Neodiprion lecontei: one gene and its partners. The protein of the gene in region 4 purifies or fractionates together with the protein of the main gene of each other region. This does not show direct contact. Links are inferred from orthologs where the notes say so. Each region holds a gene or a part of one and is shown on either strand. Other genes may lie near its edges. The genes, in order: DNA repair protein RAD51 homolog A; trifunctional enzyme subunit beta, mitochondrial; serine/threonine-protein kinase Pink1, mitochondrial; sequestosome-1.

The links.
Region 1: the proteins of sequestosome-1 (region 4) and DNA repair protein RAD51 homolog A purify together in Homo sapiens (affinity purification with western blotting; 3 studies listed by BioGRID). This does not show direct contact. The link is inferred for Neodiprion lecontei from reciprocal best matches to the Homo sapiens genes SQSTM1 and RAD51.
Region 2: the proteins of sequestosome-1 (region 4) and trifunctional enzyme subunit beta, mitochondrial purify together in Homo sapiens (affinity purification with mass spectrometry; 3 studies listed by BioGRID and IntAct, with this or other methods). This does not show direct contact. The link is inferred for Neodiprion lecontei from reciprocal best matches to the Homo sapiens genes SQSTM1 and HADHB.
Region 3: the proteins of sequestosome-1 (region 4) and serine/threonine-protein kinase Pink1, mitochondrial purify together in Homo sapiens (affinity purification with mass spectrometry; 3 studies listed by BioGRID and IntAct, with this or other methods). This does not show direct contact. The link is inferred for Neodiprion lecontei from reciprocal best matches to the Homo sapiens genes SQSTM1 and PINK1.

The regions. Positions count from the first base shown.
Region 1 is NC_060266.1:1,583,165-1,587,145, reverse strand, and holds DNA repair protein RAD51 homolog A, read right to left. Parts: upstream 2,111-3,981; 5' UTR 1,981-2,110; coding exon 1,885-1,980; intron 1,718-1,884; coding exon 782-1,717; 3' UTR 534-781; downstream 1-533. Other genes in the region: N-acylneuraminate-9-phosphatase, read left to right, coding at 2,435-2,566.
Region 2 is NC_060262.1:41,630,302-41,635,398, forward strand, and holds trifunctional enzyme subunit beta, mitochondrial, read right to left. Parts: upstream 3,533-5,097; 5' UTR 3,435-3,532; coding exon 3,371-3,434; intron 2,773-3,370; coding exon 2,589-2,772; intron 2,469-2,588; coding exon 2,093-2,468; intron 2,013-2,092; coding exon 1,838-2,012; intron 1,761-1,837; coding exon 1,480-1,760; intron 1,278-1,479; coding exon 972-1,277; intron 861-971; coding exon 816-860; 3' UTR 533-815; downstream 1-532. Other genes in the region: exosome complex component RRP41, read left to right, coding at 1-34, 121-477. UniProt on the Homo sapiens protein: Mitochondrial trifunctional enzyme catalyzes the last three of the four reactions of the mitochondrial beta-oxidation pathway.
Region 3 is NC_060263.1:37,179,227-37,186,155, reverse strand, and holds serine/threonine-protein kinase Pink1, mitochondrial, read right to left. Parts: upstream 5,337-6,929; 5' UTR 5,152-5,336; coding exon 5,037-5,151; intron 4,277-5,036; coding exon 4,002-4,276; intron 3,531-4,001; coding exon 2,995-3,530; intron 2,773-2,994; coding exon 2,650-2,772; intron 2,418-2,649; coding exon 2,000-2,417; intron 1,925-1,999; coding exon 1,826-1,924; intron 1,743-1,825; coding exon 1,488-1,742; 3' UTR 518-1,487; downstream 1-517. Other genes in the region: ubiquitin-conjugating enzyme E2 J2, read left to right, coding at 6,318-6,442, 6,599-6,833. UniProt on the Homo sapiens protein: Serine/threonine-protein kinase which acts as a sensor of mitochondrial damage and protects against mitochondrial dysfunction during cellular stress.
Region 4 is NC_060266.1:21,786,033-21,790,665, reverse strand, and holds sequestosome-1, read right to left. Parts: upstream 2,635-4,633; 5' UTR 2,455-2,634; coding exon 2,268-2,454; intron 2,140-2,267; coding exon 1,145-2,139; intron 1,063-1,144; coding exon 784-1,062; 3' UTR 524-783; downstream 1-523. Other genes in the region: 28S ribosomal protein S29, mitochondrial, read left to right, coding at 1-89, 168-404. UniProt on the Homo sapiens protein: Molecular adapter required for selective macroautophagy (aggrephagy) by acting as a bridge between polyubiquitinated proteins and autophagosomes.

The DNA of each region.
Region 1 (3,981 bases), about 20 Mb from region 4:
AGACCGTTTAACACCAAACAGTTGTATACTTTTTATCTTCCCAACGAACGACGATGAGCTGGGATCAAAATTATGCGCGATGATAAAACTGACACGATTGCGTCATTGATAACTTAACCTAACAGCAATTTTCGCCGGCTGCTTGTGTCACGCACGGGTGTCATGTGTACTACACCCATGAGAGGTATACCTATAACAATCACGTATATATATTTCAGTGGTAACAACTCACCAGGATGAAGGACATTAATTAAGGATGGCTAAAAAATTCTCTTTTTTGTATCGATAATTTACCAATCGAATTTTTCTAGCATCGATTCCAAGTGTGTAAGAATCGAATTCGATTTTCAAATCTTGAACTAAAAAAAAATTTTAAAGTCCATAATTCCATCGGCTTATTCGTGTATAAATAAATAAATAAAATTGCCTAAGGAGTTCAGATGATTATGTTAAAAAATGTTCAAGGCTCTGGAATAACGAATGAAAATGATTTATAAAAAAGCAAAGAAAGTTTATTTCATTATCATTTGCGTTTTCTTTGTTAATTGATAATACACATTTTAAATTACTGCCCATCAAACAATTTTTACACAAGGGGAATTATTCATTTATTTATTTATATATCGTAATTAAATTGCTTAACGATTACTGATAAATTAAACATTACAATCTACGATAGAAATACGTTCTCATATATAAAAATATTAAATCTTTTATCTTAGAGTTATATTATCCTATATAGTATATCGTATCACAAAACTTTGTCAACTCGTTATCAAAATTATTCTTTAGCGTCCCCAATGCCGTCCGAATTTATAGAAAACATAGCTTCGCTCTCGGGAAGACAGGGCGAGTCATATATTTTGCAAACTCTAGTCTCGCCCCTGCCCTTCCTCAAGTACAATCTTGTGGTACTGGCGTGAGCGATGATGTTACCGCCGATGGGCTTCTTCTGATCGCCGCCAAACATACTGGCCGCGCCGTCGACCTGGGCTACAACCTGGTTCGTTATTACGACTGCTACGCCGTGCTCGTCGGCAATTCTCAGAAGCATCCTTAGAAACCTAGCAAGGTGCATTTGTCTGGCGGACAATTCCCCCCTACCCGAATAGTCCGTTCTATAGAGACCTGTGGCGCTGTCGACAATTAGCAGCGCGTATCGAGACTCTGTCATCATCGCAGAAGCTTGAATGAGCAGCTGTGTCTGGTGGTCGGTATTGAAGGCTCTAGCACAGGCGACATTGTCCAAAACAGACTCGGAGCTGATCTTGTACCGTTCAGCTACTGCGATTATCCTCTCGGGACGAAACGTGCCCTCCGTATCGATGTAAAGGCACTTTCCTTCTCCACCGCCCATGTCCACTGGCAACTGGCAGTTGACCGCAAGCGTATGACATATCTGCGTTTTGCCTGTTCGGAATTCCCCGAATATCTCGGTTATCGAACCCGTCTCAATCCCTCCACCCAGGAGCCTGTCCAGTTCCGCGGATCCTGTCGTTAGATATACAGTGTTCGCCCTGTACTGATGGATCTCGGTTGCAGTCTTAAAGCCCATCACCACCATCTTGTACGCAGCATCCAGTATTTTCTCTACCTTTGCCTCGCTCAGCCCTTTTATCGTGGTGAGCTGCTTCTTTGGCGTGTACGCCACTGACTCGACAGTGTAGTAACCCGCTTCCTGCAGTTTTTTAACATCACCCGCCGTAATGCCATTACCCTGAAAAAAGAAACATGCATTTTACACTTTGATACTTGTTCCGACGAGCGGTGAGAAAACAAGCTAATAGGCGGGAATATTTTATGGTTAGAGAGAGTTCACTTAATCCTCAGTTGGGCCGATTTAGGTTAGGTTGGGTAACACACTTCTTCGCATTCATTACTCACTTCTATAGCCTTTATCAGTTTCGCCTGTGGATTAAACTCTTCTAAATCCTCGTCGCCCTGGATAGACGCAGTAGTTGCCGTAGCCGTTACCGACATTGAATTAATTTTTCGCCTGCTGGACGAAGCGAAAAAAGAACCTTCTACGCGATCCTGTCAAATTTCGAGTCGGGTCACAACGTTGTTTCCCGCCGTAATAATATTTACGTAACACGTATACCGACTGAAAATTACCGACGGTCCGATAACGTTGTTGTTCTGTTTCAGTCAACCGACTTGACCGGTAAATCAGACTGCTATGCTCATCGATTAAAAAAACCACAAGAGCCGTGACGTCAGACGTGAAAAAACCACCGCTGCTGCCCCACTCCTCCGCCTTGGTTGTACAGTACCTGCCACTGGTTGGGTGGCCAAACGACGAAGCAGCAGGTCGTTAATTCATTAATACAAGCTCATGTTGTCACATAAGAGTCTGCCGAGCATTAGAGAAGTCAAAGCAGAGCCAAACAGCGCGGAATTAGTACGAGCTAGAAGGTAGCGATACATAGACAGGATGGCAGCTCTTGGAAGGAAAAACTCAACGACGACAACAACGGCAGCAGCTGCGGCTATAACCACAGTTCTATTCGACCTGGACAACACGTTGATCGAGACTAGAAAGGGGGATAGTTTAGCGTGTAGAAAGGTACGTGCTGAAAAATAAATCAGCCAAGACGTCGGTCACGCGTTCATCTTGCTTTCGTTTATTTTCACCGATTCATTGCTACCTGCAGTGCGTGTGTGCGTGTATGTCGTATATCTCGTCGCCGCAACGAATAAAATGAGAGGGAAACGGGGGAAACGGGCCAGACAAAAATGAAAAGAGAAGAAAAAATTACGGATCGAAGAAAATAATCCGTACATAGACACCCGTTTGCTTCTCATTCTCTCGCTCGCTTTCAACTAGTTCGCTATTCGCGTTGCGAACGAACGAATGAGGCGGCGAGCGGGGCGAGCTATCTCTGGAAAAATACCGCCAACGTATGTTTCGCACTGTGCGAGCTACTTTCGAAGGGCACGTGACGTCACGGCATCGCGACGCGGATGTGCGCGTTTTATTCGATTCGATTGAAGCACCGAAAATTTTCGATGATCCAATTACGTTGGCAGCAGTGCTCGCTTCTCGTCGCTAAAAAACATTCGCATTGATCTGCGTCAGCTGAAGTTTAGATGCTCGTTATAGCGTAGCAATTTGTAACTCGATTTACAAACACCACTGATTAAACTCTCTACATTTAATTATTTCAATCCATTGCCCAGAATCATAGTGTCAACAGGGTTCGCACGCACAGGGTAAACTCACAAGAATTTTAAAGTAAGACTGAAATTTTGAGTTTGTCGAACAAGTAAACTCGTTCTTATATACAAAGTACTGTCGATCTTAATAAAAAAAATTGCACGTAAAATTTTGTTTCGTCGCACCACTTCATACATTCTATGTATATTACTTAATACCAAACATTCTTTCGATTTTTTTCTTACGGAAAATCGCAGGCTGTCGTTTGTAAATTGTTAGATAGTAAGTTAGTTATTAAGTAATATCGAAGATATTAGTATTAATGTAAAAAAATTAGCGGCATATTTCTTTGAAGGCTACTGGATAAATCCTATTTCCAGGCTGAAACGCTTAGAAACATCGGGGACTTTTAGATTCCAAAAAGCGTACGAACTCTGGTCAACTTGACCTATGAAAGCTTATTCTACACATTCTACACACTTTAGTGCAGAATTCTATCCGTCTTATCCATTATCCTCGCAGTTACTCGTCAGTTTGATGTGTAACCTTTTAATATTAAACCGATATCCAATACTTCTGATTTAAAAAGATTTATTCGTCATTTAAGGGTTATGCAGGTATTATTTCTGTGAGCTGAATAAAAAAATGCAGACGTTATCATCGTGTGGTCGAATGATGTCAATCTATCGACGAAACTATTTGAACAACGATTACATGTTATAACGTAAATGGCCTTCTAGATTTGAGCTATTTTACTGAGGAACGAACGTTTAATATAGGTATTGAATTCGTGATTTACAAAAATTTAATATCAATAATGGTTA
Region 2 (5,097 bases), on a different chromosome or scaffold from region 4:
TCTCGCTCTAATCGACGCTGGTATTCCCATTAAGGTACTTCTAATAATAACTTCTTACGCACTGTGCTTTTACTGATTTCTACTATAAAAATAATGAAATTTGATATGCTTTACTTACAGGATTACTCTGTAGGATGCACAGCAACGATAGCCAGCATGGGAGCTTCGGAAGAAGTTGACAGTAAGGATGAAACAGGATCTGGAACAGGAATAGTTGATGCAAATCATATGGAGGAATGTACAGGAGCGACGACATTAACTGTCGTTGCTTTACCAGGAGCCCCTGGCTCTAATTATGAGTCAGATACCGACAATTCCGGTTTAGTAGTCGTGGCGCAAGGAACTGGTGCACGACTCCATCTCTCCAGGCTCGAAGGGCTCAGGCAACGGGCGTTGCAGGGCTGTCGGGATACAAGGGTGATTCTTGATCAAGCAGTTAGATTCCATTTAACGACACATGATCCTCATTTTATTTAGTACTATGTTTAATTCATCCCCATATTTGTTTTACTTATATATGTGTGTATGTGTCGTCAGCTATGCATATGAAATGAACTAATGAAAATTTGAAATGGATCATGATTTATTGTACTATTTCATTACGCTTTTTTTTTCCTTTTTTCAAGGTGTAATAAATCTTAAAAAATATATACATGTACACATTTATATAACAGATATCTCCGACTGTAAAAATATAAATTCGTTCTTTCAGCCTAGTTTTGAAAGGGTTCGTACTCTTTTGCATTTATAAAACGTTTAATGCAGTGTATCGTATTTACGAATAGAAGATTAGAATAGTTTATTCTGCAGTTCCGTTAAAGTTTGGCATCTGGGTGTCTCTCCAGTATCATTCCAACTCCCTGTAAATAAAGATAAATGGTTCATCCGTCATTGATTACTGCAGCGCATGCCAGGCTTGAGGATCCAAGAATTAAAATTTGTGTATAATAAAATAAGAAATCATTGCTGACCTGACCACCAGCAGCGCAGGCAGCAATTAGCCCGAATTGTTGATCCTCTCTGATCATGCGGTTTGCTGTGTGAGTTGCTAATCTAACTCCAGTAGCGGCGAAGGGATGTCCGATAGACAGAGAACCACCCCAAGCATTCCACTTGTTGATATCTGGCACACCAATTTTACCTGATCTACCCATATATTTCTGTGCAAACCAATCAGAATCCATGGCTTTCAAGTTTGCTAGAATTTGTGCAGCAAACGCCTCATGCACTTCCCAGACTCCTATGTCATTCAAGCCCAGGCCGGCTTTTTCCAACACCTGTGAGGCGTTTAATTTATATACATTTTTGTATTTCGTGCAACCTGTATTTAATGTAACTAGATATTTCCATTAATTGGGGGATCAAAAAATTTTGTTCCATATGTTCGAATTTTACAGTTCCAGTACTTAAACCAGCCAAATTGCGAAATCTGTATTCGTATGACAGGGTCAAAATAAAAGCTAGGGAAGATAATTTTACCTTTGGGATAGCATAGGCAGGTCCCAGGAGCAATTGGTCGACCGGATCCTGCGATACATAAGTAAAGTTCCTCAGATATGCTTTTGGTTTCAGTCCAAGCTGCTTAGCCCTTTCTTCAGTCATGATGAGAGCAGCGGATGCTCCGTCAGTCAGGAAAGATGCGTTAGCTGCTGTAACAGTCCCGTATGGTTTAACAAACGCTGGCTTAAGCTTAGCTAGCTGTTCTGGTGTAGAAACTCGAATTCCATTGTCCTTGTCAATGACGTCATTCACACCAGGCACTGAAAAGATGTGAAACTGTGTTAATCAACAAATATACATGTGGTATGAAATTATCCAGTAACGTTGAGGGAATTACCTTTGAATGGCGCAATATCAGATAAAAATCCTTGCTGTTGGGCTTGGGAAGCGAGAGTATGCGAGCGCAAGGCATACTGGTCCTGTTCTGCCCGAGTTACTCCAAATGCCGAAGCTAACCTGTCGCCACTGTGACCCATAGTTTCTCCGCTAGAGAATTCCGCTACCGCTGGCAACTAACAAAATCGAAGTACATGGTTAAATATTGACATTTAACACAACTATTCTTTACAACAATTTATAACTTTCCGCTTACCTCTGGAACAAAGTGGCCAGGCCTGATGCTAGCCAGGAGGCCTAACTTCTGAGGTAAAGTCTTTGCTTTATTGGCACGCAGCATTAAGGATCGCATGTTGCGGCTGTGCCTGATTGGTACATCGGACATGAACTCTACACCACCGGCAACGATAACATCGTACACGCCACAGGCAATCAGACCAACGCCAGTAGTTATAGCCTGATTACTGCTGATACACGCCATGGTTATAGTATGTGCGGGTGTCTTCTGGCTGAAGCCTGCAGCCAGTGCTGCTTCTCGACCAACATTGGAGGTCTTGACTTCCTGGATAACTGTGCCGTACGTTATATATTCTACCAAGTCTTTGTCAATTCCAGTCTTGTTTACAAGGCTCCTGAAATTAATGTTTCAACAGGTTGGGTATTACGTTAAACCTCTTCATTTTCAGGTGTAATAAATTTTAGTTTTAAATCTTTCAACCAAAAAAATAAATAAATAAATACATAAAACTCACAGCAGGGCATGCCTGGCAAGATCATGAGGCATGAGCTTGCTGTATTGTGTGCCTGACAAAAGAAACGGAGTGCGAACTCCGTCGATGTAGACGATATTCTTTCCAGCCGGACTTCCCCCCTTTGTCGCATAACCTCTGTCCCCATTTCTGGTTCCGTTGAGGTTTTTCAAAGCCAGAGGAAGAGCTACATGCACAAATTAAACAGATTAGCATCGCACTTTGCTCCTTCAGATGCGAGCGAAGAGTTGAAAAGTTATTTGGAACAAATATGAAAAAAATTGTGAATGGGTAGGGTAATAGACTTTTAAAAATAAAAGAAGGCTTACTCTATCAGCCGAATATGCTAACAGTAATGAAAATAAGACAGTGAAGCCTGGTAGAATTAAATCTTGACAAATTTCATAAAAATGTAGTACTTTTATCACAGTATTATTAGTGAAAAACTGTATATTGCGCTTGATTGCTGAATCTGTCTGCTGACTTCAGCTTGATGGAAAAATTAGAAAACAATGGGCATTAGGTATTCCTGGGGAAAATCACGGTTTCCTCAATCATGTTTTGCATATTACAGATTGGCTAATTAGCTTCAATTGAAAAAGCATGCGGAAAGTGACCGAGTGTACTTTGCACCGCGTTGAGCCAAGCAGGGCAAGGGGCACAATTGAATGGCACGGTATGTGCGGGGCGATGGCTCATCCAATTACACACTGAACAATTTCTTAAAGTCTATTAATCTAGCCGAAAAAAAAATCGTTATAAATCGGTGTGTTTATCGAGTTTACCTGCGGTTTGTGAGCCGATACCGTGATTAAGGCGTATTAGATTTCTCGCTAGATACGTTGCCATGTTTTTAATATTACTATCAACAATATAAATAAACCAAGCACACTTTAAACACTCCGCTTTCCACTAGCAGCCTTCTGCCAAGTGCCAAAGTCTCGAAACAGTTAACTATATCTAAAGAGTGCTTAGCTGGAATAAATTACTAATTTGCCGTGTACGGATTCAGGTTCTTCGTATCGCCGCTTGAGCGCTAGCATTCACTTCATAAACTGGCGGGATTTTTAAGAGTCGTCGCCTGAAATGATGACTGAATCAGCGTTTATTTGCACGTACAATAAGAAAACTTTTTTCAATTATAAGTAAAGATCCCAAAACGATAATTGCAATTCATAATAGACCATTAAAACGTATTAAAAATAACAAAGGTTGTTTTTGCACGGATAAACTTAAAGATTTTGCACTGAAAATGGATTTTCAAAGATTTCGTCTTGGTACAGAATTTATGCGTTCTTTTTTACGTTGTTTCATCTGCTCTCTAGGAAAGCTTAATCTTGAAAAATTGTACAGTCGTATTATTCGTTTGCGTTTAGTGTCACTTGGATTCTGTGATACCACATCTCCGCTTCGCTCCGTTATCAGGTTTCATCGGCTGGATCGAAGATGGCACTATACTTAACTAATAACTTGAAGTCGAGTTAGAAATAATATAGTGCAACGGAAAAATTATTCTACAGAGCTGAGAATTTCGCCAATCGCTATAAGTTACGCGAGGAAACGAATATTATGTTAAGCACACGGATAATCACGCGATAAAAAATGGCCAAAATGTGTTAGATTTTTGCCATAGATAGATAATACGAGCATCTTCGATTACCGCCGCAAGCGTGTTTAGTCAACTCTTGACAAATCGCAGTTATTCAGAAATCTGCTTACTTTAACTTTCACCAATTATTTCTACGATTCCGGTACTTTCGACTGAAACAATCGGAGGCAGAGACCGTCGATAAATGCATCGGCTTTCTTCCCACCGACCGGAAATTGGCTCGTTATCAGCACTGGATACTGCAGAATACCAAGAATAATACAACTTGCGGTTCTTGGATTCCAGCCACGGACGAAGAAGGTATAGGATATAGGTCGGGGCGCAGGTGTAAAACTATGAGGGGATCAAGTGTAATATAGGGTGCTTTGTATAATAATGCAGTGTATCGGCTGTAGAACGAAACCTGCAATTATTTACCTAGGCATAAATTCACGAGGGTGTACTTACAGGCAATTAATCTTTGTGACACAAGATCCACCCATCGGGCTATATGTATGCATATACGTTACAGATGCATCGGTAGCTATAGCCGGAGAGAAATCTCTATAGCCGTGAATTATACAAGGGAGTATATTAAAGGCAACACGGAGCAAGAAACAGGGGGTTTCTGGATGTAGGTACTTATAGGTTGTAGCAGTTATACTCGTATCGTGACTTTGCTAGGTTTTTATCCCGTATTTTGGCCGAGATACCACTTGTTTATTCAATTGGCGCCTATATAGATTAGTGGGCATCATTGTGACGTTAATGGGGGGGATTCAGCTTGGACGGGCTAAAATAATACCTATTTTCAGTATTTTTTTTCAAAGAAAATGAAAACACTTGGAGCAATTTGAGTTTGAGGGCTTTATCATTTAGATGTTTAAGAACATTTTTGAATTATTTCATTGAAATTAATAATAA
Region 3 (6,929 bases), on a different chromosome or scaffold from region 4:
TTTTCTTTTCATATTACCTCTAAATTACAGTTGCTTTCACGCACTGTTTTGTGGTGATAAAAGCTTATGACACTTTTTCAGCATACTGTCGAATGGATCCACTTTCCAATTCGACAGGCGTAAAGTTGCTGCCACTTTCGCAAAGCGATAAATGGCTGGCGTCAGCTAAAATTCTTGATATGCATAAAGTCACAACGACTGACACTGGATTGTGTTTTTTTAAATTTCACAAACGTGCCATCAGTTTCGAAGAATACCTCATATACTTGGAAGATTTGGCTCAAACAAAGGGTTTAAACATTGAAGACATGAAATTTGCAATGCAGAGAAGTGGAAAGCCAGTTCATCCATTAGATATAAAAAAGAAAAAAAAATGATTGTTAGAACTAATAAACACGAGATGCAAATATGCAGGATATTCTTCAGGATAGTTTTCTAGTCCCAAATTATATAACCATTTTATGTATGTATTGTTAGCACTGTTATATAATCTGTACAATAGTTATGAGATAGATACTTAAGAGCACTTTCCACGTATATTTGTATTCTCTATTTGGATCCTAGTTCAACTTCAAATCGATATTTACATCTCATATACAAGTTTTCACAAATACAATGAAATAATAACAGCCAATTCAACATAATTTCCCCTAAAGCTAGATTTCAGAACACGATAATTTAGAGAAATATACTCTTTATCAATATTCGACTAGTATTTCTATGAGATATTTAACCAAGCTGCAATAAATAATGTTATGTAATTCATCATGAGGAACTCAATATTTCAACAGGCTCTTACTTATCTCGATACAATCAAGTGTATCGCGAAGTACGAGTAGTTCCGCAGTATCTTGCGACTTTCATCGATATTTGCTGGTACGGCAAAATTCACAGTGCTCAATTTTATAATACGACAAATTGTTTATTCAAGGAACCTTATTTCTTTCACGTATTCAAAATACTTGTTGTGGATTAACAATGATATAAGTAGAATAAAATTTGAAAAACAACGTAATAGGTTCAAAAATAAAGCTGATAATATCTGTACATCCTTTTCAAAGGCACTTTCACCAAAAAGAAGAGACTGACATAACATTATTCTGCAGTACCATTTTTTGTGCTTCGCGCAGTTACAGAAGAGAAGAAAAAATATTCTTCCTTAAATCAGAAAATTTATGTACAGTAAGATGAATAGGCATACGTGTCTTGGAAGTAACGTAGAAATTCATTTTCGACATTTTTTCTCAATGTAAGGATTGCCTTGTATTGCAATAGCGTGTAACCATGTTGGTTATACCCAATAGTAATATGATTCCCGAACCAACATTTTTGTAAAGTTTTGAAGACTATTGAAGAAATAAATAAAATTTATCAAAGTTCAAGAGATAAAGCACAACTGATCTCTACCAGCATATCATGTTTTATCAATGCATCAGTATACAATACTCTAAGAATCATCTCTTGTTTCCTTCCAATAATACTAGAGTTTAAGTGTGGTTATGAATCCACTTCAACGCATCTCTTACATTTATCAGTGAAACTCTACTTAAAAAGCTGGCTATCAATTGATACTCGGGCATTGTGCGACGTCCACATGATCGGGTAGATATTTGCTGAGTATATTCACGATTGGAAATGAGATCTGCGTTCAATTTCTGAGAAAGTTGATTTGGCGTAGAATCAGTGATCTTTCGACCCTCGCAAAGAACTTTGGTCGTGAGACACAGAAGCCATTGAAGAATCTTGAACACAAAAATAATAATAATAAAAATGACAGTACATCAACGCGTGAAATTTAAAGCTCAAAAAGTAGAACAACTATCACCTCGTTGCTTGACGGTAATTTACTGTCGCTGTTTAACCAAATGCTTGGTGCCCAGAGAAAGACTTGTATAATGGTTGCCGCCATATCGGGATTATTCCTCTGTAACGGAAATAGAAGTGATATTAGTTTTGATGAATTTTTGAAAACACTTCCTTCCCTTAACAAAATAAATACCTTGTACATGCTTCTGTTAAGCATATTCTTAATCAATGCTACAATAACAGGTGGTATTACTTCTGGAAGTGGCGGTAATTCCGATTCTATATAGCTGTGGTTCATCAGCAGTGGTTTTTGCCCTTTTTCCCCATAAAATGGATTCTTCTGACCAAATATTTCGTATGCAATAGCCCCTGCAGCCCACAGATCAGCTTTTGTGTAATTCAAGCTAGTGAATGGTCCTGGTTCAGCATTAACGATTTCTGGAGCCATCAGTGCACTGTTTCCTCCTTTGTCAATATCGTGAGAACTATATGGCAGGTAGAGACCATGAGTTTTGTCTGCCAAGCAGCATCCAAAATCAGTTATTACCAACGACGGGCAATTATCACGTTCTTCTGAAAGGTCCAGAAGAATATTGTCACTTTTGAGATCCCTGTATTAAAAAATTTCACTGTATTAATAAACATACATTACGTGTAACCAAAAATACCACATTTTTATCTGTTGTTCAAAACGTAAATTAAAAGCAGCATGAAGAATTCACGCTAATTCTTTTTTAATGAACAAATATTAAGTCATCCATTGGTATAATAACCACGGTGCATGATATAAGAAATATTCGTCTACACCAAGTGGAAAACGTAATCCAACACTGACTCCCTTACCTGTGTGCAATACCTGCTGAGCACATGTGAACAATCCCTTCCAATAGTTGTGCTAACAACAATATCGATTTTCGAACGATTAATTCTCTGCCCACCATATATTGTTTCAAGCTAACATCATACCTGAAATACAATACCCGTATTGTCATTGGAAATCGATACACTATATTGATATCTCATTTCGTTGTAACATAACATGTAACATGACACACATGATTCTAGGTATACCTTTCCCAAGTGTTTCTCTTGTTTATAATTTTAGAAAATACCAATAAATTTGATCCAATTTTTCAGAATCTGCAAAATTCCGGAAATTTGAAGCTCCCAGATTATATTGTCAAGTACCTTTTCATCAGCAAAAAGAGGCTCATATTCCTTCCAGAGCCGTTCGGGTTAATCCTAGGTGGAAGAGCGTCAGGATACATTTTCGATGATCCCGGTAAATCAGGAACTCTATCGGCAAAAACGCAATACATAGCAACGATGTTCGGATGTGGAGAAAGAATTCTTTTGTTGTCAGCCATTTTCTGTTCCCACAAAGCCAGTTCTTCATTCTGACAATGTTTTCTAGCTGGTACAGTCTCTCTGTACATAGCTCTCAAAATAGCTGTTGCATTAGACTCTGCGTCATAGTTGAACATCATTTTAATAGCTAACGGAAAGCTGGACAGATCCTTATTACTGGTATCAACAGTAATTTGAGAATCCTGTTTTTCTTCGGGGTCAATCGGACGAGTGGCATACACGACTGCTGAGCATCCTTTGGCTATTGCTGGTCCAATTACAAAATCCTTTAAATCAACTGGATTGTCTTCAATCGTTGTTGCTTCGTAATTCTGGTCGTTTTTTGGAGTGTTCCATTGTACCTTAGACACAGCCTCCTATGAATGAGGTAACAGTTGATTACATAACATGTTAAATTTATTACAGTCTATAGACGATTTTCAGACGGTTTAGCGTTCCTTTTCGTGGCTAGAAAATTTTCACAATCGTTCATTAGTTAAATTTTACAAAAACAAGTGTGTTGAAATAACATTCAACTCACATGTGACTATCTAAAATCCCATTTACAAAATAATTATAAATGCCAGCTAAGTTTGAACTTGGAAAAATGATATATTTATAAACAACATAAAGTCTGAATAATAATAACAAATAAGCTGACATTTGAATAAGAGCCATTTGTAGATGACATCACCATGTCTAATGAAGCTTTAGTTAAGGGTTTATTTTTTCCTTTGAATGACATGATAAAATATGAATTTCATAGAAGTTGTGTTGCAAAAAATGAAATTTGTTTGTAAGAGCATCTAATTTTTATGTTCCAAAAAAATATCTGGAAGTATGCATACTCTGATTTCCCAGCAAACGCCTTCCAGCTCGTCATCTTTGGTAAGTATTCCAGTACCAGATGCCAGCGATACGCCAACCAGAGCAAAGAATGGTCTTGAATCTCCAAATAATAAACGTTTTGCTGCACGACGTCGTAAATCTCCGGCGAGACTATTGGTCACTCGCTTCAAAACATTGTCAACAAATATCCGCCGAGCATGGAGTCCCAGGAATCCGAGGTGTCTCCCTGCAGCAGAGACATTACCACCCGTAGGCAGCTGGCCCTGGGTCTTACCTGAATCAAGAATTTCAAAATACACTAGTCATAGTTTGGCAAGAAATTTTATTTTTATTTTATGGTGTTGAAATATTTATTAGATTATAGTTGAAGAAGAAATTAATTATGAGTCAAGAATTCTTGTTCATTAGTAATCAATCAACTAACTAATTGATACATAAAAATCTGAATTGAATTAAAAATTGTCCCATAAGTATGATAGTAAACAAGAATGTTTGCTTTTGATTCTGTAATTCTTTGTGTTGTTCTCAACATGAAAGTAATTTATTCCTACTCTCTCGCATAAAATGATGTTTCAAGTCGAAAGTATGGAATAAAACAATGAGAATACACTCTACACTGAATTGAAGCGGGAGTAAAATCTAACATTATTATGAGCACCAGTCGCGTTAAACGTATATAATCACATGTAAAATGCTGAGTATATAAAATTGTACAAAACTTGGAAGTGCGTATAATCGCAACAATGAAGGTGCCTCGAGTGATTTTACTAAAAAAAAAAAAAAAGACAATGAAAACAACGATTCGTACCAGCTCTGAGATTGGAAATGACGTTTCAAATGAATGCAGTATTTACATATACATTCCAAGTACGACATACCTATAATACGCCGTTACGTTGCAAGGGATAACCTAATGATAGTGACATGGTTATTTGTGACGATTGCCAGCGAATTGGTACCGGACTGATGAGATTGATGTGTCGAGTCGATTTGAGTATGATAGTCACGGGTAGAAGATGACAACAGGCCCTTACCTACTTCCACAACGTGTATTTTGTTGCCTTGCGTGTAATATTGTGGATTGCGTACTGAACGGAGAAGGACACGACCATTTTGCAGGAGACGTTGCGCTACCGTTCGTAACGACATTTCTCCGCACTCGTGGGCCGAGAGAGCCCGGGCGGGCCCTAACCCAGACGCGAAGAGTTTTAACTGGAAAATTTTGATCGCGCAATTATCAAGAGTCCTGGAACACTCTAATTATTTTTAAAAGAATTCGAACACGTCTTTTGTCGCCAGTTCAAAGTTCACCATTTGCAATTATCATACCCATGGATGAACCTGCCTTTCGGACCCGATTGGGTGAAATCAGCCTCCATTTTGCGCAGACTCGAAATCCGCAAAAGCGCGGGAAAATATGAAATCAGGAAACAGGACGTATACTACTCGCGGGTTTTTCCTTCTTTCGGATAAGGTACCTAGTGAAGCTGAATGCGACAAAAAAATCGTATCGCCAACAACGCTAATATAACGGTATAAGTATAATTAATTTTTCTGTCATAGCATAGATACTTATCATACTTCCTAGTTCGCAAGTACATCCGCGATTGTGGCGTTATAAAGGTAAACTTGCGTTGTAAAATCTGTTCAGTCTACTGATGATACATTTGGCGAAGTGCGAGGACACGCATAAAGAAAAATAATTCCAGTCAACCAACTTCTCTCAGTCTGAATTGATCCGTATTTACGATTCGAATGACGAAAGTGCGCCTGACAATGAGCGATACTTGGAATATAATGGTCATGCGTAAAGCGCACAAGTCAACTACGCAGGATGCTGGATTGTTTCACTTCCGGTATACGGGTCTTCCATCATATGTTTGTGTGCCGTGAAAATTGTTGGTTGTCAAAGTCGAAGGATATTTTTTCATTCGTTGTGACTCCTGATTTCTAACAATCGCAATAATATTCGCCCCGTATTTAGCCAGGTATTATCAAAACTCTGCGAGTGTACCGTGAAGTCGTATTTTCCAAACGCTCAAATTCCAGTTAACCTTTACAACGTTGACGTGGTTTTTTTTTTTTTTTATCATTTTTTTTTTTCATCGTCAAAACTGACGTCTGACTCCTCTACGAAAATAGGTTATCACGTTATACGTATACATGTAATTAATTGTATCGCGGTAATGTGTCTCACGAAAAACAGTTGAGCCTGATGTGAGAAATAATTAATACTCATTCGTGAATACAAGTGTGAAAACAGTGAAGTTTCCATTACCAATAGTACCGATCAACCCAGCCTAGTTTATATATATATGGTAATAATGAATAGAAAGCCAAACACTGCCACTGCTAGATTAAAGCAAGACTATTTGAGACTGAAAAAGGACCCGGTGCCGTACGTCGTAGCTGAACCCGTACCTTCGAATATATTAGAATGGTAATAAAGATAACATTATTTTGATCCTTCGCGTGCGTAAAAGATTGACAATTCATCCATTTGCACAATATTGATGTCAGTCGACGTATAGCATTGAATCAGGCTGCAAGCCTACGACGAGACAATTGATTTGTTTATTTATTTTTATACTTACAGGCATTATGTTGTCAACGGTCCGGAAAGTACACCTTACGAGGGTGGATTTTATCACGGAAAGCTCGTATTTCCACGGGAGTTTCCTTTCAAACCACCTAGCATATACATGACCACGCCAAACGGCAGATTCAAAGTAAACACACGGCTTTGTCTATCCATATCCGATTTTCATCCAGACACTTGGAACCCGGCATGGAGTGTTTCCACCATTCTCACCGGTCTCCTTAGCTTCATGGTAAGAAGGCTTCAGTAAAGTACATTTCCCATGTGCTAGTACTTCACATTGAAATTGCATATTTTTTTTAAGGTTTTCGCCAATATTGTTTCAAAA
Region 4 (4,633 bases):
TATCACTCACTATTGCCGCATTGGAAATGACGAAATACGATTGGTGCAACGGAGCTGTTGTCGTGAGCGTGGATCAATTAGCTGTCGGGGTAAATTAGCGAACATTTTACCCGTTTTTTGATCATCTGAATACTAGATTCATGATAACTTATTTGGTCTTCATCTAGGGCAAAAAAGAATCTGATCTTCCAAGATTGCTACTTGGAAAAGCCGGCTTTGAGCATTTGGATCCCTTTATGCCAGTATCTGTGAACCCCTACACGGATTCCGAGTTTTATAATGTTATGGATTACTTCAAAGATAGACGGTGGGTCAGAAACTGCGATGACGAGGGATTACAAGAGTTGAAACTCTTATCTGCCAAAAATGGTTTCAAACTTATGAATTTATGCGCAGCTTTGTAAGATGGATATGTAATAATTGAAATAAAAGTTGTTTAGCTTAGAATAATTTTCGTAAATTAAGGTATTAAATTCATAGGAAAAGTAGGTTTATCGTGAAATCAAGTAAATAGTCAATTCAATGCTTTTTGCTTTGTTTATATTTTAGGAATCAGAAAACAAAGTCAATACAATCACCATTGCAGGAATTATTATCATTTCTCACAGTAAAACATGAGCAAACAAAAGGGAATGCTTTTTTTCGGTAGTTACGTACAATATAAACGGTAAAAGTAATAAAATTGCAGTAAAAACTATGCACATGATAGATATCAAACATATATCGTTAGTGAATTAGCAGTTTAGTCGTCAACAATTAACCACTACTTTCGTCATGTTTTTTTTACTGCTTGCTATTGCCGGGACGAACTGGTTGCAGAATATCCAGAGCCTTGCTAATGTCACCATTTTTGGAAGCCAGCAGCTGAGTAAGCCATCCGCCTTCATTTGTGAAACCCATCTGCATCATTGCAACCACAGCGCGTTGGATGTTTGGGTCGGGGTGATAAATTGGGATCGGAGCCTCGGCCTGTTGCGGCAATTTGGGATAAATTGGTTTCGTAGCTACGGTAGAAGCCAATATCGGAACTGGTGCAGAAGCTGTCGGAACAGTTGTTGACGGCTGAAAACAAACAATATAATAGAACACCGATCACTTTTCAATGCATGGAATCAAATTGCAATTTATTGTAAGAGAAATTTACCACTTTAGGTACGGCTCCAGTAGACAAACTGATGCTCGAAACTCCTTCAGTAACGTAAGAGACCGGGGTATCCTGTTGATTAAGCAGTGTCCACTCCTCGCTTTCCATGTTAGGTTTGTCGATAGGTGCGGAAGCATCGACAGTAGGCTGATGTACAGGGTTCTCAGAAGTCGATGCAGTATCAACTAGCTTCTTTCCTTCCCCAGGAAATTTGTGTGCCGAAGTACTAGGTGGGCTGTTCTCAGGTGGGGTTTTTGCGTTACCGCCAGCAGGAGCCTTCCCAGCTGCATTGGGAGCCTCGGCATGAACTTCAACGTCGATACTCAATGGGTTCAAAAAATTGGCTAGATTCTCTCCGACATTCTTAAAAAGCTCTGCCTGTCGATTGATCCTTCGCTTGTCCTCAGTTTCAGTCTTAGATTCTTCACCCACCTTCTGCCCAGGTTGTTCTTTCATTGGGCAGCTTCCTTCTGACGGAAGTTGAGCCCATTCGTTCAAGTAGGCAGTTACAGTGTCCAGCCAAGAAGGTCTATCCGCCTCCAGTCTCCCAGCGTGCGAGTTATGGGTAAACTTTACCCTCTTGTAGGGACACTTTGTCAAATCTGTATCTCTTGCAGTCCGCCCATTCTTTCTGGCTAACTTGTACATGAAGTGCGATAGTCGACGTCCAACGTGGGGGTTCCACTGCAACGGGACTGGACTGCGTATCATACAGTGCTCCGGATGAAGTCCCTTGGACTCGCAATCCGCGCACAGGTCATAGTTTGGGCATTGGATGCACTTGTAACGAAATCCATGGACATCCTTTTCACATCCGTCGCAAATTATGTCGATGTGAATGGCCTGTGGCTGCTCGGCGTCCGGCTGAGCATTCTCAGCTGGGTACTCGGAGTGCAGGACGACGTACAGTTTGCGAATGCTTTGCTCAGCAGTTTCGGATAGGGCAATTCTGAGCTCCTCGTCGCTGGATACGATGACGTTGTCACCGTCAGCGTCTGTGATTAGAAAGTTTGTGTCATTACTATAATTTTTCAAATTTACAATATACAGATTTTGGAATTGCGCAATAACGTTGACGATGATTACTCGCATTTTACGCGATTATCAGATTGATATTTCGTACCTTTCCAAGAGATGGTAAAACGCCGCGAGCGGAGTGCCGCGAAGACGGACTGCAGCTTCTCGTTCAGGTAGAGAAAATTCGTCACTACGTCCTTATCGATGCCGAATCTCCTAACTTCGGGCTTAGCGTCGATGGGGTCCTCCTCTTTGGACAAGAATACTTTGAAGCTGACCGTCTCAGACATCATTGTGGATGTTGAACTGATTGTGAACTCAGAATGTCAGAAGCTCTGGAATGTAGATTCGCGTGTTGTGTATTTTTCAACCTCGTAAACGCCTTGAATCGTTTACAAATCGCTTTGTTTTTTGAAGCGTGCACAGAAGCGTCGTCAGGCGATGAGAGTCTTCGAATGATGTGCGCAGTTGCCAAACGGTGATTTTTATACTCGACGCAATCCGCAAGCGGCCATTCGTCTCAACTGGCGCGCAGGTCGCGCGAATGGCGCCGTGCCACGACGTTCGAAATTCGAATTTAAAACACCGTGACACAGCTTTCGGGGATTACTTCGAGATGATGTAGCTTGAAGAAACTCGTCGCACAACTTCAACGAGAAATGTCATCATGTAAATTTCATCCGACGACTCGAAATTGTGGAAAATTCTACATTTGAAAAGTCGACATTTAAACATTCGAACCTCAAAATGGCGTCTTCGGCCTGCATGAGATGCAATTTTCGTGCGCAGCACGTCACTTTGTTGCCATTGTCATCATTATTCATCGTGACTCACTACCACGTGAGGTATACAACGACAAGTTATCAATATCTGGATACGTGGATTACTGGGTGAATAATGCGTACATTACGAATATTCAGATAGCCTAATTTGCAATCGGAATTACGCGATACGGATTCGAAAATCTAATCTTTCAATGTTTCCAACTTGACTCATACGGTGAAAAAATGTAGATATTCTGCACCGGTGGAAAAACATTAATTTTCGTTTGCATCCATTAATTTTAAGTACTGCGTTTAAGTTTATAATCAAATGAAATTTCGCTGAAATTTTTACCCATAGAACTGGCATTGGAATATACCAGAAGCATCTTGAAATTTCTTTTCTTGTGACTCACACCTGATAGAACATTAAATTTTTTCTTTCATGTTTTACGCCGTGCTTCCTATCTACATTTCGCTACAGGTTGCGTGAGGTTGCGTCAGTGTGAAGCCAAACTGGGTATCCAGCGGCATCGCATTACATGGCAGAATTGATGCCGAAAGTTGACGAGTTCACTCGCTCAAGCTTCACTAACAATGAATCATTTATACTAGAACATTCCCAACTTCTATGCCCTCGTGAAAATTTATCCTCTAAACTTTGTTGAGAGACGATGATAAAAGAATCTAAAAAGTTAGGTGATTCAAGATTTTCCAGAGTAGGTCACAGCAAATTAGAAAACAGAAAAGTAGTGGAATTATATCCAATTTCATCTGGTTAAAGGATTTCTTATTCAAAGAAACTAAACAATAGTTTTTCAAAGCAAAGTTTCTCCCGGTGTTGGTATTAATACGGGTATGATTAAATAGCCTATACGATATTCGAAAGGATGGAAATCCGCATGCGGATACAACATACGAATTTTGTTTAGGATAGTTGTAACGTACCTGAAACAGCAGGCAAATAAAATAATCTTATATCTACAGTTATTTGAACGCGTTTTACAATATAAATAGTCTTTGCAAAAGTTCAATAAAATATATGAAATATACACGCAGTTGGTGTATAATTTTGGTAAAGTTTACAACTTGTGCGTGGGAATAAATTATCGCCTCGACGACTACCTAGAATCTGGTCTCTGATAGTTTTCGTAAGATTCTCCAGAGACAAGATCAGCGGAGGATAATAGTATAATACGCGTTCTTATTATAAACGGAAACTTTTGCAAGTGTGTAAGTAACTAAACGCACGGTGAAAGCTGAAGCAAATACAATTTTCCTACGCTATCATGGCTTTGACTACTTATACGCGTATATGTAGCCACAGAATGCGACTTACATACATTCAGTAGTTGCTGAAGTTATTACGCAAGAAATTATTCTAGGCTTGCGCAACGCGGTTATGACATTGTTCGCAAGTATTAATTGCATTCTATTTGATTTCTATTTGAAATTTCGTATTATAGGCCACGTTACCGCGGAAGAATACAGACATTAATTAGTATAGGCCGAAACATCGTTCGTAACATCGAACGATTATCACCCTAGCAATTTTATTTATTTCGAGACAGCACATTGTTATTAAATACTCGCATATTCACACGCTGATTTAAAACTCGCACAGGTATGATACCACATATATAATGTATGAGAAAATACGTTATACCGACAGCGATCTATACAGCTAATAAGCAGAGTAGTAAAACGCGAA